Linked DNA regions of Callithrix jacchus. The protein of the gene in region 1 purifies or fractionates together with the protein of each later gene. This does not show direct contact. Links are inferred from orthologs where the notes say so. Each region holds a gene or a part of one and is shown in the gene's direction. Other genes may lie near its edges. The genes, in order: MED1, POLR2J and MED9.

Region 1 (6,116 bases):
ATGTAATTTTTTGGGATTTTTCTACAGCCAGGTGTGGCAGGCTATTTTTGTAAATAAATTTTATTGGTACACTGCTGTTCATTTAAATATCTGTGGCAGCTTTCTAGCTAATATTGCAGAGTAAGTGGACAGGAAACATATGACCTACAAAGCCTAACAGATAACTATGTGGCCTTATAAGAAAAGTATGCTGGCGGGGTACAGTAGCTCACACCTGTAATCCCAGCACTTTGGGAGGCAGAGGTGGGTGGATCACCTGAGGTCAGGATTTCGAGACCAGCCTGACCAACATGGAGAAACCGATCTCTGCTAAAAACACGAAATTAGTCAGGCGTGGTGGTGCATGCCTGTAATCCCAGGTATTTGGGAGGCTGAAGTAGGAGAATCCCTTGAACCCAGGAAATGGAGGTTGCAGTGAGCTGAGATTGAGCCATTGCACTCCAGCCTGGACAACAAGAGCAAAACTCCATCTCAAAAAAGAAAAAAGAAAAATATGCTGACATATGTCCCAGAGCAAAACATTTGCAAACTGAGGTTTATGAATATAAATTTATCTGGAAAATAAAAAGTGCTTTGCTTTATAATAAACAAGATTTCATTCCTGAAATAGCACTTTTTATAACAGCGTAGCTTTGGGATGATCTAGGCCATTAAGGTTTAGAACTTGATGGGTCAAGAGATTTTTCTAATGATTCCTTAATTAAAATAAGTTATATATCCCTATAATTATCATATGAATCTCCCAGAAGAAGGCTTTTTTTTTTTTTTTTTTTTTTTTTTTGAGACAGAGTCTCGCACTGTTGCCCAGACTGGAGTGCAGTTGGATGATCTCGGCTCACTGCAACCTCTGCCTCCCAGGTTCAAGCAATTCTCCTGCCTCAGCCTCCTGAGTAGCTGGGATTACAGGCACCCACCACCATGCCCTGCTAATTTTTTGTTTCTAGTAGAGACGGGTTTCTCTATGTTGGGCAGGCTAGTCTTGAACACCTGACTTTGTGGTCTGCCCTCCTCAGCCTCCCAAAGTGCTGGGATTACTGGTGTGAGCCACTGCACCTGGCCTCCTTTTTTTTTTACTTTGAGACAAAGTCTCCCTCTGTCACCTAGGCTGAAGTGCAGTGGCATGATCTTGGCTCACTACAACCTCTGCCTCCTGGGTTCAAGTGATTCTCCTGTCTCCTCTTCCTGAGTAGTTGGGATTACAGGTGTGTACCACTACACCTGGCTAATTTTTGTATTTTTAGTAAAGACAGAGTTTCACCATGTTGGCCAGGCTCGTCTCAAACTCCTGACCCCAAGTGATGCACCCCCTCAGCCTCCCAAAGTGCTGGGATTACAGGCCTGAGCCACTGCGCCCACCCTAAGGAGATATTTTCTTACTGAGTTCCATTATTACCAATTTTCTTTTAGTTCAGTTTGAAGTCCAATTATTTGGACTCTTGATTATAGTTTGCTTTTGTTGTGTGACTCTTATTAAGAGGTTGACAATTTCATTTTGGCTTAGATTTTTCAAATGAATTTACCCAAAGCTCTGGTATTTGATAGAACTATTATTTGCCCTACCTGAAAACTGCTTACTGCAAAACTCTTATGTTGTATCTAAATCTCAGGTCTCATTCAGCAGCTATTGCAATATTAACTTTGTTTTCCTCTATCTTATCTTGCAGATGTATGTCCATCCCTGTGACGATGAGGGCTATTCGGAGGAAAGCTGAAACCATTCAGGCCGACACCCCAGCACTGTCCCTCATTGCAGAGACAGTTGAAGACATGGTGAAAAAGAACCTGCCCCCGGCTAGCAGCCCAGGGTATGGCATGACCACAGGCAACAACCCAATGAGTGGTACCACTACACCAACCAACACCTTTCCGGGGGGTCCCATTACCACCTTGTTTAATATGAGCATGAGCATCAAAGATCGGCATGAGTCGGTGGGCCATGGGGAGGACTTCAGCAAGGTGTCTCAGAACCCAATTCTTACCAGTTTGTTGCAAATCACAGGGAACGGGGGGTCTACCATTGGCTCGAGTCCGACCCCTCCTCATCACACGCCGCCACCTGTCTCTTCGATGGCCGGCAACACCAAGAACCACCCGATGCTCATGAACCTTCTTAAAGATAATCCTGCCCAGGATTTCTCAACCCTTTATGGAAGCAGCCCTTTAGAGAGGCAGAACTCCTCTTCTGGCTCACCCCGGATGGATATATGCTCGGGTAGCAACAAGACCAAGAAAAAGAAGTCATCACGATTACCACCTGACAAACCAAAGCACCAGACTGAAGATGACTTTCAGAGGGAGTTATTTTCAATGGATGTTGACTCACAGAACCCTATCTTCGATGTCAACATGACAGCTGACACACTGGATACGCCACATATCACTCCAGCTCCAAGCCAGTGTAGCACTCCCCCAACAACTTACCCACAACCAGTACCTCACCCCCAACCCAGTATTCAAAGGATGGTCCGACTATCCAGTTCAGACAGCATTGGCCCAGATGTAACTGACATCCTTTCAGACATTGCAGAAGAAGCTTCTAAGCTTCCCAGCACTAGTGATGATTGCCCAGCCATTGGCACCCCTCTTCGAGATTCTTCAAGCTCTGGGCATTCTCAGAGTACCCTCTTTGACTCTGATGTCTTTCAAACTAACAATAATGAAAATCCATACACTGATCCAGCTGACCTTATTGCAGATGCTGCTGGAAGTCCCAATAGTGACTCTCCTACAAATCATTTTTTTCATGATGGAGTAGATTTCAATCCTGATTTATTGAACAGCCAGAGCCAAAGTGGTTTTGGAGAAGAATATTTTGATGAAAGCAGCCAAAGTGGGGATAATGATGATTTCAAAGGATTTGCATCTCAGGCACTAAATACTTTGGGGGTGCCAATGCTTGGAGGTGATAATGGGGAGACCAAGTTTAAGGGCAATAACCAAGCTGACACAGTTGATTTCAGTATTATATCAGTAGCTGGCAAAGCTTTAGGTCCTGCAGATCTTATGGAGCATCACAGTGGTAGTCAAGGTCCTTTACTGGCCACTGGGGACTTAGGGAAAGAAAAGACTCAAAAGAGGGTAAAGGAAGGCAATGGCACCAGTAATAGTACTCTTTCGGGGCCAGGATTAGACAGCAAACCAGGGAAGCGCAGTCGGACCCCTTCTAATGATGGGAAAAACAAAGATAAGCCTCCAAAGCGGAAGAAGGCAGACACTGAGGGAAAGTCGCCATCTCATAGTTCTTCTAACCGACCTTTTACCCCTCCTACCAGTACAGGTGGATCTAAATCTCCAGGCAGTTCAGGAAGATCTCAGACTCCCCCAGGTGTTGCCACACCACCCATTCCCAAAATCACTATTCAGATTCCTAAGGGAACAGTGATGGTGGGTAAGCCTTCCTCTCATAGTCAGTATACCAGCAGTGGTTCTGTGTCTTCCTCAGGCAGCAAAAGCCACCATAGCCATTCTTCCTCTTCTTCCTCATCTTCTGCTTCCACCTCAGGGAAGATGAAAAGCAGTAAATCAGAAGGCTCATCAAGTTCCAAGTTAAGTAGTAGTATATACTCTAGCCAGGGATCTTCTGGATCTGGCCAGTCCAAAAATTCCTCGCAGTCTGGAGGGAAGCCAGGCTCCTCTCCTATTACCAAGCATGGACTGAGCAGCAGCTCTAGTAGCACCAAGATGAAACCTCAAGGAAAGCCATCATCACTTATGAATCCTTTAAGTAAACCAAACATATCCCCTTCTCATTCAAGGCCACCTGGAGGCTCTGATAAACTTGCCTCCCCAATGAAGCCTGTTCCTGGAACTCCCCCATCCTCTAAAGCCAAGTCCCCTATCAGTTCAGGTTCTGGTGGTTCTCATATGTCAGGAACTAGTTCAAGCTCTGGCATGAAGTCATCTTCAGGGTTAGGATCCTCAGGCTCATTGTCCCAGAAAACTCCCCCATCATCTAATTCTTGTACGGCATCTTCCTCCTCCTTTTCCTCAAGTGGCTCTTCCATGTCATCCTCTCAGAACCAGCATGGGAGTTCCAAAGGAAAATCTCCCAGCAGAAATAAGAAGCCGTCCTTGACAGCCGTCATAGATAAACTGAAGCACGGGGTTGTCACCAGTGGCCCTGGGAGTGAAGACCCAATGGACGGCCAGATGGGGGTGAGCACAAATTCTTCCAGCCATCCTATGTCCTCCAAACATAACATGTCAGGAGGAGAGTTTCAGGGCAAGCGGGAGAAAAGTGATAAAGACAAATCAAAGGTTTCCACCTCTGGGAGTTCAGTGGATTCTTCTAAGAAGACCTCAGAGTCAAAAAATGTGGGGAGCACAGGTGTGGCAAAAATTATCATCAGTAAGCATGATGGAGGCTCCCCCAGCATTAAAGCCAAAGTGACTTTGCAGAAACCTGGGGAAAGTAGTGGAGAAGGGCTTAGACCTCAGATGGCATCTAAAAACTATGGCTCTCCACTCATCAGTGGTTCCACTCCAAAGCATGAGCGTGGCTCTCCCAGCCATAGTAAGTCACCAGCATATACCCCCCAGAATCTGGACAGTGAAAGTGAGTCAGGCTCCTCCATAGCAGAGAAATCTTATCAGAATAGTCCCAGCTCAGATGATGGCATCCGACCACTTCCAGAATACAGCACAGAGAAACATAAGAAGCACAAAAAGGAAAAGAAGAAAGTAAAAGACAAAGATAGGGACCGAGACCGGGACAAAGACCGAGACAAGAAAAAATCTCACAGCATCAAGCCAGAGAGTTGGTCCAAATCACCCATCTCTTCAGACCAATCCTTGTCTATGACAAGTAATACAATCTTATCTGCAGACAGGCCCTCAAGGCTCAGCCCAGACTTTATGATTGGGGAAGAAGATGATGATCTTATGGATGTGGCCCTGATTGGCAATTAGGAACCTTATTTCCTAAAAGAAACAGAGGCAGAGAAAAAAAATATTGATAAGTTTATAGGCAAACCACTGTAAGGGGTGAGTCCGACAGGTCTGATTTGGTTAATACTAAATGGCATGGCTTTGACCCTGAGCTGGGTGAATTAGAAAGGCATATCCAGACCCTGTTAAAGAGACCACAGGGTTACCAAGAAGTCTTTGTTCCTGTGCCAGAAAGAAAAAGTTAAAATACTTGCTTAAGAAAGGGAAGGGCGGGGTGGGAGGGATGTAGGGAGAGGGAAGGGTGGGAAACAGTTTTGTGGGAAATACTCACATATATTTTCTTCTCCCTTTTTCCATTTTTAGGCCATGTTTTAAACTCATTTTAGTGCATGTATATGAAGGGCTGGGCAGAAAATGAAAAAGCAATACATTCCTTGATGCATTTGCATGAAGGTTGTTCAACTTTGTTTGGGGTAGTTGTCCATTTGAGTCATGGGCAAATGAAGGACTTTGGTCATTTTGGACACTTAAGTAATGTTTGGTGTCTGTTTCTTAGGAGTGACTGGGGGAGGGAAGATTATTTTAGCTATTTATTTGTAATATTTTAACCCTTTGTTTTTATACAGTGTTTTAAATCTATGAGGTTTAGGGTTCAAAATGATGGGAGGCGGAAGAGCAAGGCTTATATGGTGGTAGGGAGCTTATAGCTTGTGCTAATATTGTAGCATCAAGCCCAAGCAGATTAGTCAGAGCCGCCTTTAAAGTTAAATATAATAGAAAAACCAAAATGATATTTTTATTTTAGGAGGTTTTAAATAGGATTCAGAGATCATAGGAATATTAGGAGTCACCTCCCTGTGGAGGTAATGATTTGTAATCTCATTTTCCTTTCAAAAGAAAAAAAAGCTGGTGGCTTTTTGAGATGTAAACATTTTCAGATGCAGTAAGGTTTAGTGTAGGACAGCCTTCCTGACCCAATGGCATGAAAACCATGATAGAATTAATAGTTCTCCTGTTTCCACAATGTGCCAAAACTCTGCATCCCAGCATTTTGTTTGCAGGAGAACTGATGCCATTCCTAAGAGCTGGACTCATTGTTTCTCTTCATCACAAGGAGAAGGAGTCCAAACTTTAATCACTCCACCGTATGCTCCCTGAGATAAAACAGTAAAAAATCTGCAGCCATAGTTCACTTAAAACAATTTCAAGCTCACTTGAAGTAATGGGGG
Region 2 (7,228 bases), on another chromosome or scaffold:
GTGTGAGCCACCGCACCCAGCCTATTTTGTCTTTTTAGTAGAGATGGGATTTCATGGGGTTTCACCATGTAGGCCAGGCTGGTCTCAAATTTCTGACCTCAGATGATCCTTCTGGCTTAGCCTCCCAAAATGCTGAGATTACAGGCATAAGCCATCGAACCTGGCTTTTTTTTTTTTTTTTTTTTTTTTTGAGACAAAGTCTCCCTCTGTCACCCAGGCTGGAGGATAGTGACATAATCTCGACTCACTGCAACCTCCACCTTCTGAGTTCAAGTGATTCTCCCACCTCAGCCTCCTGAGTAGCTGGAATTACAGGTGCCTACCACCACACCTGACTCATTTTTTAATTTTTAGTAGAGAGAGACAGGGTTTCACCATATTGGTCAGACTGGTTTTGAACTCCTGACCTCAAGTGATCTGCCAACCTCATCCTCTCAAAGTGCTGGGATTACAGGCATGAGCTACCTTGCCCAGTCCCAGAAGTCTGGATGATCTGATTGGACCCCCAGGCAGCTATCTGCAGCACAGGGGCTGGTGTTCGCCACAGAGCAGGCACCCTGGGAAGCCCTGAGGGGCCCCAGCTCATCCAGTGCCTGCTTCTCTCAACCTCTTTGGAAATCTGAACAGATTGGCAGCAACCGCCTCCACACAAAGCCTTGTCAAAGTATAACTTCAAATACATACAAAGAAAAATAGTAATGATTCATATATAGAATGAACACCCATCAAAGATCAATTACACATCAGTTCAGAAGTGTTCGGGAACTCTGAATCATGTATGATTCTGAGAATCTGGGTACATGTATTTCATGTATTTGTAAGTTTTTTTTTGTTTTTTTGTTTTTTGAGACAGGGTCTCATTCTGCCACCCAGACTGGAGTGCAGTGGTGCAATCATAGCTCACTGCAGCCTCGACGTCCTGGGCTCAAGAGATCCTATTGCTTCAGCCTTCTAAGTAAACAGAACTACAGGCACATACTACTATGCGCAGCTGATTTTTAAAATTTGTAGTAGAGACAAGATCTCGCTCTATTGCCCAGGCTAGTGTCAAACTCCTGGGCTCAAGCAATCCTCCCTCCTCAGCCTCCCAAAGAGCTAGGACTGCAGATATGAGCCACTGTGCCTGGCCAGTAAGCATTTTAAGAGAAGCAACCCAGACAAAGATTGTGATGTTAGATACGAACCAGTTAATGAAGTTTTCTTTTCTATGGGATAGAAACTGCAAGTTAATAAGTAACTTCAGTGTCTGGGCTGTAATCAAACAAGCAGGAAAGTCAACACAGCCACAATCCCTGAGATTAGGATCAGCAAACGTTTTCTGTAAAGGACCAGGCATGCAGCTCTGAGTCACAACCACTCTGCCACGTAGCACAAAAGCAACTACAGCCAACGTGTAACAAATCAGCATGGCGTGTGTGGCTGGGGTGGAGCTCATGCCTATAATCCCAGCACTTTGGGAGGCCAAGGTGAGAAGATCACTTGAGGCCAGGGGTTTGAGACCAGCTTGGGCAACAAAGTTGGACCCCCCCCCCCCCATCTCTACAAAAAGTAAAAAAAAAATAAATAAATAACTGGGTGCTGTGGTGTCTGCCTGTGGTCTTAGCTATTGGGGAGGCTGAGGCAGGAGGACTTGACCTCGTGGGAGGCCTGCCTCAGCCTCCCACCGTGGTGGGATTGAGCCCAGGAGCTTGAGGCTGTAGTGAGCTATGATGTCGACACTGCACTGCAGCCTGGGCGACAGAGCTGGTGTCACACCACTGCACTCCAGCCTGGGTGACAGAGCTGGTATCACACCACTGCACTCCAGCCTGGGCGACAGAGCTGGTATCACACCACTGCACTCCAGCCTGGGCGACAGAGCTGATATCACACCACTGCACTCCAGCCTGGGCGACAGAGCTGATATCACACCACTGCACTCCAGCCTGAAGACAGAGCTGATATCACACCACTGCACTCCAGCCTGGGCGACAGAGCTGGTATCACACCACTGCACTCCAGCCTGGGCGACAGAGCTGATATCACACCACTGCACTCCAGCCTGGGCGACAGAGTAAGACTCCGTCTCAAGGAGGGCCTTTATGCTAAACTGTAGTCTGCAAAACAGCCAAACCAAAAGGTAAGATAGACTTATCCACCAAGTGCAGTGGCTCAATCTTAGCCCTTTGGGAGGCTGAGATGAGAGAATTGCTGGAAGCCAGGAGTTCAAGACCAGCCTGGGCAACACAGCAAGACCCCAACTCTTAAAAGAAAACTAGCTAGGTGTGATGGCACGTGCCTGCAAGTCCTAGCTACTTGAAAGGCTGAAGTGGATCTCCGGAGCCCGGGAGTTGGAGGCTGCATTGAGCTATGATGGCACCACTGCACTCCAGCCTGGGCGACAGAGTGAGCCACTGTCTCTAAATGATAATAATATATAAAAAGATTTACATAACCCTCCGAGCTCCCTCTCACTGCTGTATACACCCGCCTCCTTCCCCATCCGTCACCCAACTGTCCCTCCCTTCTAACAAGCCAGTGGCATCCCAGCCAGGGGTCTCACAGCAGTCGGTGTAGGCAGCCTCGGCAGGGGGCTTAGCACAGATCTGCCTCTGGCCACGAGACCTTCCTCAGCTCCCCTCACGGCTGCCAGCCGCAGCTGCCCATTCCCCTTAGCTCTATTCTCTCTATTCAGGGGCCTCCTGCTGTGCACTCCAAGGGGGTGCACGGTTGCAAAGCGAGATCAAGGGTCGTGGGGAGCAGAGAGGCACAGCTTGGGGTTTCCACTCAGTCAGGATTAGGAGATCTCTGGAGGGGCAGAGCAGCCCTCCCGGCGCTCTGAGCATGCGCCAAAAAGCGCCCACGTTGAAAGCCACGAGGGGGTGAGGGGGTGGGAGTTGGGGGGGTGGGGCTTCCATACTGACGCAGGCGCAGAGGTACTGGCCTCGCTCGGGCTTTTCTCGCTCCTGCGCAAGATCCTCCAGCCCAATAGGGGGCGATGAGCTGGTCCCTACGCTAGTTTGACCCGCCAGAGTAATCCGGAAGAAGCCTCTTACTAGGGCTTCGGAGGCGGCGGCAGCGGACGCTTAGGGTCTGGACGCGGCAGTGGTGGCGGCGGCGGCGGCGGCGGCGGCGGCGGCGGCAGGAGTATGAACGCCCCTCCAGCCTTCGAGTCGTTCTTGCTCTTCGAAGGCGAGAAGAAGTAAGTGACGCCAGCTGGGAGGAGCCGAGGTTTGCGGGGCTGCGACTGTCGCATTCCGGGGGCGTTTCCTGCCCATGTCTTGCTCCGGGAGGGAAGCAGCTTTTGCCTGATAGTCCGCACGGCCTGTGTCGGCCAAATTTAAGCCAGTTCCGGGAGGCAGTGGCGAGTGTGTCCATTTGGCAGATGAGGACACTGAGGCTCGGAGGAGCAAGTTGCCCCAGACACGGAGGAGGTGGCGGGGCTTGTATTCGAACCCAGAGTGTCTGGCTCTCCATAGCCCTCTTCCTCTGGGACGTGGCAGCCTCCTCTCTTGTCTTCCGCCCGCCGCCTCCATCCCCCGTGTCCTTTGATTTGCCAACGGCCTGTGTAAAAGCCGCAGTGGCTTCTTGCTGCCTGCTGGTTGAAGGAGTCCCCGGGAGAGACAGCTTGGGCTTGGCCCCTGGGTCCCCCACTTAGCGACTGTATCTGTACGAGTGCCGTGATCTTTTGGAGGCCCTGTTTCCTTTTCTGGAAAATGGATTTGTTACTTTTCATTTTTTTCGAAACGGAGTTTTGCTCCTGTTGCCCAGGCTGGAGTGCAATGGCGCGATTTCGGCTCACTGCAACCTCCACCTCCCAGGTGCAAGCAATTCTCCTGCCTCAGCTTCCTGAGTAGCTGGAATTACAAGCATGCGCCACCACGCCCGGCTAATTTCTTATTTTTGGTAGAGACGCGGTTTCTCTATATTAGCCTGTGTGGTCTCGAACTCCCAATCTCAGCTGATGCTCCTGCCTCGGCCTCCCAGAGTGCAGGCATTACAGGCGTGAGTGACGGCCTCCGGTCTATTACTGTTCTTAAACATGGGATTTGGCCAGGTGCGCTGGCTCACGCGTTTAATCCCATCACTTTGGGAGGCTGGCTTGAGCACAGGAGTTGCAGGCTCCAGTGAGCTGTGATCGCATCACTGCACTCCAGCCTGGGCGACAGAGTGAGATCTTGTCTCAAAAAGAATTGGATGAGGTAATTTGTGTCAAGCACTTGGTCTAAAGCTCGGCACCTGGAAGACCTCATAACCACTGGCTCTTACTGTTCCCAGGTTGGCGTGCAGAGGTCTTGGTCTGGCCCTTGCCGGCCAGTTTGGCCTTTTTTTTTTTTTTTGGACAGTCTCACTCTGTCCACCCAGGCTGGAGTGCAATGGTGTGATCTCACGGCAACCTCCACCTCCATGTCCCAGGTTCAAGTGATTTTCCTGCCTCAGCCTCCTGAATAGCTGGGATTACAGGCATGCACCATCACATCCGGCTAATTGTGTGTTTTTAGTAGAGACCGGGTTTCTCCATGTTGGTCAGGCTGGTCTCAAACTCCCAACCTCAGGTGATCTGCCCGTCTCTGCCTCCCAAAGTGCTGGGATTACAGGTGTGAGCCAGTGCACCGGGCTTGGCCTCATTTTAGAGCAGACTCTCAGCTGGGGACCATTTGGCAATAATTGGGGACATTTATGGTGTCAAAGGGGGTTATGACTGGAATCTACTGGATAGAGGTCAGGGTGCTGCTGCTGTCCAGCAAGATAGCACCCCACAGGAAAGAATCATGCAGCCTAAAACGTCTGTGGTGTCAACATGGAGAAACTACCTTAGAAAAAAGGGGCAGTCAGGCACAGTGGCTCACGCCTGTAATCCCAGCACTTTGGGAGGCTCAGGCAGTTGGATCACGAGGTCAGGCGTTCAAGACCAGCCTGGCCAACATGGTGAAATCCCGTCTCTGCTAAAAATGCAAAAAAAAAAAAAAAAAAGCCGAGCATGGTGGCACACGCCTGTAACCCCAGCTGCTCAGGAGGCTGAGGCAGAATTACTTGAACTGGGGAGGCAGAGGTTGAAGTGAGTCGAGATTGTGCCACTACACTCCAGCCTGGGCAACAGAGCAAGACTCCATCTCAAAAGAAAAAAAGGAGCAGGCTAGGCATGGTGGCATGCGCCTGTGGTCCCAGCTACTCAGGAGGCTAAGGCTGGAGGCTACAGTGAGCTGTGATCACACCACTGCACTCCAGCCTGGGCAGCAGGAGGGATCACTTGAGGCAAGTTCAAGACCAACCAGGACGACAAAGCAAAACCTCATCTCTTCTAAAAGAGAGGGAGAGGAAAGACAAGAGGAGGAACTCCGAGAAGGGCCAAGGTTCCACAGACCTGGGGTAGGGAATCAGGCTGGAGAGGTCTTTATGGGAGGAAGAGATTGAGAAAGGTCTTCAGGAGGAGGCAGAGCTTTTCATTTTTATTTTTTTGAGACAGTCTTGCTCTGTTGCCTAGGCTGGAGTGCAGTGGCGCAATCTTGGCTCACTTCAACCTCCTCCCAGGTTCAAGTGATTCTCCTGCCTCAGCCTCCCAAGTAGCTGAGAACACAAGCATGGACCACCACACCCAGTTTGGGTTTTATTTTTAGTAGACAAAGTTTCACCATGTTGGCCAGGCTGGTCTGGAACTCCTGACTTCAGGTCATCCATCTACCTCAGCCTCCCAAAGGGTGGGGATTACAGACATGAACCACTGCACCTGGTCCGAAGGAGGCAGGGTTTAGACTTGGGGTGGGCGGAGGGGAGCCCCTGTCCCTCATCTGTGGCCTCTGTGTCTTCCTAGGATCACCATTAACAAGGACACCAAGGTACCCAATGCCTGTTTGTTCACCATCAACAAAGAAGACCACACACTGGGAAACATCATTAAATCGTAAGTTTCCCGTCAAAGGCTCTCAGGGGCTATGTTTAATAGGCGCCTCTGGGCAAAACAGAAGTTTTAAGATTTTCCTCCATCTCTCAGCTACAGGAAGTCCTTCTGGGGGCTTGCTCTGGGCATTTGGTAATGTTGGTACTTTATCAAAATGACGCTGACCTTCATGTCTTCACATAAGCTACGCTTCTGTAGTGGCTTATTCTGTAGACAAACGTGCATTTACTTTTTTTTTTTTTTGGGAGTTTTTGCTCGTTGCCCAGGCTAGAGTGCAGTGGCGCAATTTTGGCTCACTGCAACTTCTGCCTCCCAGATTCAAGCGATTCTCCTGCTGGGACTGGCCACCATGACCTGCTAATTTTTGTGTTCTCAGTAGAGGCGGGGTTTCACTATGTTGGCTAGACTGGTCTTGAACTCCTGACCTCAGGTGATTCACCTGCCTTGGCTTCTCAAAGTACTGGGATTACAGGCATGAGCCACGCACCCAGCCTTCCATTCACTGTTAAGTGCACGTTCTGTGAGTGAGTGAGAGCAGGTTCCAGCAGAGTAGGCCTGTGTGTTCATGGGCTGAGGGGCACTGAGCAGCAGTCAAGATTAGCTCCCCCAATGCCACCCCTATTTGTGACCTCAGTGCCACCTGGCACGCTTAAGATGTATGTGGCAGAGATGAGAACTTGTGTTTAACAAGGGAAAGAGGTAGGGGAGTTCTGTGGTTGTCCAGTGCCAGACAGGTGCCTGGCCTTGGTTCATGGGTGTTCCTTTACACCACTGAAGTCCTAGCTAGGTGGTTGATTAGGAATGTGACTGTCATTTCACTTGTAGACTTGGCTCTTCCCTCTGGTGCCATCAGTGAAGCCAGGCTTTTCCCAGGCTGTGAGAGGTGTGCCCAGGCACAGGGATGGAGGACTCCTCCCCGGAGTCCAGCCAGTGCAGCCCCTATGCTCTCCTCCAGCCCAGTGTTGCCAGCTGTGCACGGGTGTCCTTTGTGGTGCTCACAGGAGACCCTGCGTGCCCAGGGCACAGCACACAATGCTGCCCAGAGCCTGGGCCCTCCTCTCCTTGCTGCCTTTATTTGCTGTGGGATGTTCTTTTTGGGTCCGATTCATTGAACACTGGCTGGACATCCACTGCCTGGGAGATCTCTTTGCCAGCCCTGTGGTTCTTTGTGGGAAGAGGTTGCTGGAGGCTGTTTCCTGCTCAGGTCCTTCAACCTTAGGGGTGCAGGGAGGGGGTGTGTGTGTCTTCTCCCCTTCAACTTCATGCATGCAGGGTGTGTCCGAGTTGGGGGTGGGGTGTCCCCATATGATCTATCCTCCTGAAAGCATTGCTTTCCTTGAAGACTCTTGG
Region 3 (5,511 bases), about 50 Mb from region 1:
GTATACTGTAATGGCGTCTCTCAGTTGAGGGCATCAAATGACAAATGTTTGGCTGGCCTCTCATTTCCTGGAAGAAGTGATTGATTCTCCAAACCCCCCACCCTGAGTTTGGAGCTGTTGGTAAATACTGAGCCGGCCATGGTGGCCATCTTATTGCAAGGTGTGAGACGTAACTGATGGATCGCCAAGAAAGATGGATATTCTGGAGAAATGATGAATAGTTAACATGAATTAGCACCATCTGGATTGAAATTTTCCACTACAGATGAACATTTATTTAAAAAAATTAATGATCATTGACAGTTTTTTCCTATTACGCCTCAATGACTTACTTTTAGAACAGCTTACTGAGTTGCCTTTTAGTTTTGGTCTCAACCACGTAACTTTTTTTTTGAGACAAAGTCTTACTCTGTCACTAGGCTGGAGTACAGCGGTGGTGTGGTCTCGGCTCACTGCAACCTCTGACGCCCTGGTTCAAGCAATTCTACCTCAGCCTCCCGAGTAGCTGGGGCATGCGCCACCGTGCCCAGCTAATTTTTATATTTTTAGTAGAGACAGGGTTTCACCATGTTGGCCCAGATAGTCTTGATCTTCTGACCTCAGGTGATCTGCCTGCCTTGGTCTCCCAAAGTGCTGGGATTACAGGTATGAGCCACTGCGCCCGGTCCACTTAACTAACTTTTTTAAAATGTATAGGATGGCTCACGCCTGTAATCCCAACACTTTGGGAGGCCAAGGTGGGTGGATCACAAGGTCAAGAGATCGAGACCATCCTGGTCAACATGGTGGAACCCCGTCTCTACTAAAAATACAAAAAATTAGCTGGGCATGGTGGCACACGCCTGTAATTCCATCTACTCAGGAGGCTGAGGCAGGAGAATTGCCTGAACCCAGGAGGCGGAGGTTGCAGTGAGCCAAGATCGTGCCATTGCACTCCAGCCTGGGTAACAAGAGCGAAACTCCGTCTCAAAAAAACAAACAAAAAAAAAGTATAGGAGCAACTTTCAGGCTGTTTCTTTCATCTCAGGTGAGGTTATTCTTGCCTCGTTTTTCACTGAGTGGGAGCTCTGTGCAGCTAATAGTAGCTGTGAGATGGAGCGAATGATCTGCTTTGAAAGTGAACTTGACTCAAAGGGTAAGGAGTGTACATGACCATAGTAGAAGAGAGCCTATGTCTGCTGAAACATTTAAATTAACTAAACTTTAAAATTTATGAACAGCTCTGTGGATATTAGTCTTTATGTTAACCAGTTCAAGCCAGTATCAAAACCTCCACTAAAGTTAGCTCTTGCTAGCTGGTAGAGCCTCCTGACTGGTCTGGAAATGTCTCCAATTAGACGAAATGTCGTATTTCAGTAAGTTGTGTTTGGCATTTGTCACCTGCTGTTGGTATTGGTTTGTTCATTGAATACATGTTCTGTGAGCTTATTTGCCAAGCATTCATTCTTTCCATGGATATTTCTTGAGTGCCTGCAGTGCCCTGTACACTGGGCCAGGGGTAGGGAGACATCTGTGACCAGGCAGACATGGTCCTTGACCTCACAGAGTAACAGTTGACAAAGTGTTCTAAAAGCTGTTGCAGGAATGACAGCCAGCTCTGGGGGGTGCAGGGCAGGAAAGCCACGATGAGTATCAAGCTGCGAATGCTCATGGCTCTTACTCTGCCCCCGCAGCATGGACAAGGACAGCCCCGAGGTCCACCAGGACCTGAACACCCTCAAAACCAAGTTCCAGGAGATGCGCAAGCTCATCAGCACCATGCCCGGCATCCACCTGAGCCCTGAACAGCAGCAGCAGCAGCTGCACAGCCTCCGGGATCAAGTCAGGACCAAGAACGAGCTTCTGCAAAAGTACAAGAGCCTCTGCATGTTCGAAATCCCCAAGGAGTAGAGCGAGGCCGACTTCCAGGAGCACCTGAGAAAGAGGGAAGCAAATGGCCTGTCACCCCACAGCCACTACCCCCCCGGCCGAACGCTTGTTGGGGCACAGTTCCTGTGGAACCCAGCTCAGAACTTCAAGCTGCAGGGGCGGGGTTCCTGTGCGGGAGCCAGCGCCGAGAGCTTGGCTGTGCTGGGGCTTCCTTGTGTAGATCCATATGTCTAGATGCATAATAACTGGAGTGCCTGCTGGTGGAAGTCAGAATGCTCCTGGAGGCTGCGGAGGGGGTGGAGGACTCTCCCTTGCCTCTGGGGAGGGGGCCATCTGCTTCGCATCCAGCCCCACTGACAGATCTGAAGAACACAGTAAGAAGGGAGGCGGTTCCTCTCTGCTTCCTTCCCTCCCCCTCCTCCCACCCCCATAGGATCAGTGTGTACCAGGTACATATTGTTCCTGTTAGCAGCAGCTTCTTGAAACACTTGCATAGAATCCACTGGACAAATTAAGCCTGCGCTCATATGGCATAGAGCTGTGAGAGAATGTTTTGAAAGGCCACAGGGTGGCTTTTTTCCCAGTTTGGTTCCTTTTCTGTTTGAGCGGTGAAGGAACTATAGCTGTGGGGGTGTCGGCCCACACCCCTGCCAGGCAGCCCCTGGCTGCAGCTTCCCTGCTTCCTAGCACTCTCCTCTCCTTCAGCGCTTGCTCTCTTCCTTGCTCGGCACCTTCAGTCAGTGCCCAGGGCTGGCAAGGGGCCGTCCTTTCCACTCAGGCTGGAAGAGGTCTTCAGGCGGACAGACCTGTCTTCTGTCATTTCAGATTCCCATTGCCGTGGTGAAAAGGTCTTTCCCTTCTGTTCTCACTTGTGGCAGCGATGTGTACTATGCTGCAGAGGGGTTCATGATGCACCTTGTGTTCAGAGAGGGGCAGTTCGGGTGGTCCTCAGCCATGAGCTAGGCCTGACAGTGACACAGCCAAGTTTGAGCTCTTAAAGGTTTATAGCAGCCCTCATTTCCCCAGCATCCCTGATTTCTTCCGGATGGGACATTTTCTTTGTTTGCTCTCCCTTGACTGTCAAATTGAGGTAGGAGTAGTTCTCACCCTTGCTTCTCCAAGAGGGGGTGCCAAGTCCTGGAGTGTTGTTTGGGTCTAGGAATGAGCACACAACCTGCGCTGACCACTTCGGGGACTTAGCAGATGCCCGCCAACTGACCTCATTGGTAGGAGGACTGGGTGAAGATGTTTTTAGCAGAGCTGCCATTAGTGTCCAACTGCAGCTACCTATCAGAATGTGGGTGGTATATTGGGGACCTGGGGATGTGTGAAGGAGGAGACCAGATTTCAGTGGCTTTGCACAAAAAAGTAGGCTCGGAATTCAAGTGGGTGGTCACCTGTTAGACCAGTTCTACCTTGGAACTGTTATTTAACTGAATCAGTTATTTCCTTGAAATTTCACAGTTGCGGGTCGGCCACTTTTAAGGCTCTGACAGATACCATGAAACATGAAGCACATGGAAATCTAAGACCCTTGGGGTCTGAATGCAAGGCTGAAATGAACAAGGGCTCCTCACGCGGGTGGAGGGAGCTGGAGCCTACCTTGTGTTCCTGTTTTGACTTGTGACATTCAAACGCATAATTAAAAGGACTTGTACTCTGCTGTTTCTGGACATCATGCTTTCTGTACTGAGAAATTCATAGTGGGATGCTCTCAGATCATTTAGAGGAAAATGTTTCTCTTACTCTGTTCAGACACAGAACCAACCCTCTGTTCCTCAACTCCCTCCACTCACCTGCTGAACCAGTGTGGAACAGGAACTCCTCTCCCGGCTGGCCTCAAGGGGAGTTTGCCTGGCAGGTCATCCCTGCCCCTGCCTGGCACGGGCCCCTGGGCATCCGTGGTTGCCTTTGATGGAGTGGCAGGGTGGGAGTGGGGGTCCAGTGCCTTTTGGTGACTGGAGGTTTAGTCCTGCCAGAACTGCCCTCCCTGAGCAGGGTTGAAATCCTTCTAGGACAATTGTTGAGTGTTCCTCACAGGGCTGAGCACCCTCTCAAAGCCACTAATTATTTGGATTACTGGGTGGCATGCATTTGTGCTAAGTACTTTTCAGATACCACACTTAATCCTCACAGCAAGCCCATGCAGAGGGTGCTCTGCCCCAGGTTTGCAGTACTAGTGACAGAGGTGTTCCTGGGTGCCTTAGGCATGAGAGGGAGATAGCAAGGCTGAGGGGTGCATGGGGCTCCACTCCTGGGCTTGAGCACTGCCTGGAGCTAGAAGGGAGCAGACGCCCAAGGGTTAGCTGTTTCCTGCCAGGGTGGCACCCTGGAGGGAGGGGGTGGGAGTGGGCACCTGGATGGACCTGCTTCCAGATGGGTCTCAGGGTCTTTCCTCAGGGCCTGAGTGATACCTCCCAGTCTGAGAGTTCGCCTGGGCCCACACTGAGTCTGGTGACAAAATGGCTAGGCACAGTTCCAGTGGCCCTTGGGCTAAGGAGAATTCAGAACGTTTTCTTAGAAAATGAGGCCTTTTGTCATCAAACACAAAGAAAATTAAGCGGGTAGGTGGCTAGAAAGAGTTCATCTCCAGGAGGGACCCTGAAATCCTTTACCTTCGTCCTGGTTTTGTAGGGAACCATCCCCTGCATAGATGCCCCAGGCACCTAGGGCCTTTCTGGCCGCCAAAGCTGCTTTCAGAAGGGCAGGGTATTTTCCAGTTCCGAGGAAGGTTAAGTTCTAGTTCCACACAAGTCAAAGCCCAGCCCCTTCCCTCTCCCTACCCTTCCCGCCTCCAGCCATCTCTAAAAGCAAAGAAAAACCGGTTTTCCATTTTAAATTATTTTATTGTATATTTAAAAACCAACAGTAATAAAGACCTCACTCGCACACACGCAGTACAAATACCAGGGTGAGGTTTTGTTGGTGTCCGTGTTGACACCGGAACTACTGTTAAAGTGCAAGTTTGGTTTTGTGTTCCTTTGTGCAGTTTCACTCACATGTAAACAAGTCACTTGGCTATGATTTGACCCAGCCCCCCTTAGTTTTGGGAGGGCACAGGTTCTGCCGGCTGTCATGGCAACCCGGAATCACAGACAAGATAATGCCCCGTGGGTCCTGACCCTCAAGCCGGGCAGGACGGTTTCTTGAAGCCTAACAGGCTGGATAACTTCACATCACCCCCACCCCGCACTCACTCTTAGGTCTTTGAGAAGACAATGCCACTCTCGGCAGGGCCCTTGCCCCCCACCCCGCCAAGTTGTGGGGATGGGATGGGGTGAGGGTGGGAGTAGTCTCAGTCTTGGCCAGTTCTCTTTCCTTCCAGAGCAGATGACTGTCCCTTCTTGGTTCAGTGGCGCCTCCCCAGCGCTGGGGGCGGATCGCGGGGAGGGAAGACGCTAGTCCAGTCCGCGCGCTCGCGGCCCCGGGGCGCACGGGGCGTGCCGGGCCGTTGGATTTGACTTAAACAAAAAGGTCCTCCTTATGTCGTGTGGCTGCCGGCGCGGTGGGGCTCCTAGCTGATGACGCAGCGCTCCTTGTCCTTCGCCTGGCTGCCGGCGCTGGCCTTTTCTCGGATGTACATGAGGTCGCTGTGCACGCTTGGCCGGCGCGCGAAGGGTGCCACGATGCCGAAGGCGTCGC

Evidence for each region.
Region 2: the proteins of MED1 (region 1) and POLR2J purify together in Homo sapiens (affinity purification with mass spectrometry; 3 studies listed by BioGRID and IntAct, with this or other methods). This does not show direct contact. The link is inferred for Callithrix jacchus from reciprocal best matches to the Homo sapiens genes MED1 and POLR2J.
Region 3: the proteins of MED1 (region 1) and MED9 purify together in Homo sapiens (affinity purification with mass spectrometry; 8 studies listed by BioGRID and IntAct, counting the BioPlex papers as one, with this or other methods). This does not show direct contact. The link is inferred for Callithrix jacchus from reciprocal best matches to the Homo sapiens genes MED1 and MED9.

What each region holds. Positions count from the first base shown.
Region 1 is NC_133506.1:119,863,535-119,869,650, reverse strand, and holds part of MED1 (mediator of RNA polymerase II transcription subunit 1), read left to right. Parts: intron 1-1,664; coding exon 1,665-4,908; 3' UTR 4,909-6,116. UniProt on the Homo sapiens protein: Component of the Mediator complex, a coactivator involved in the regulated transcription of nearly all RNA polymerase II-dependent genes.
Region 2 is NC_133503.1:11,370,601-11,377,828, forward strand, and holds the start of POLR2J (DNA-directed RNA polymerase II subunit RPB11-a), read left to right. Parts: upstream 1-3,056; 5' UTR 3,057-3,128; coding exon 3,129-3,181; intron 3,182-5,791; coding exon 5,792-5,881; intron 5,882-7,228. UniProt on the Homo sapiens protein: Core component of RNA polymerase II (Pol II), a DNA-dependent RNA polymerase which synthesizes mRNA precursors and many functional non-coding RNAs using the four ribonucleoside triphosphates as substrates.
Region 3 is NC_133506.1:69,655,296-69,660,806, reverse strand, and holds the end of MED9 (mediator of RNA polymerase II transcription subunit 9), read left to right. Parts: intron 1-1,673; coding exon 1,674-1,890; 3' UTR 1,891-3,532; downstream 3,533-5,511. Other genes in the region: RASD1 (dexamethasone-induced Ras-related protein 1), read right to left, coding at 5,384-5,511.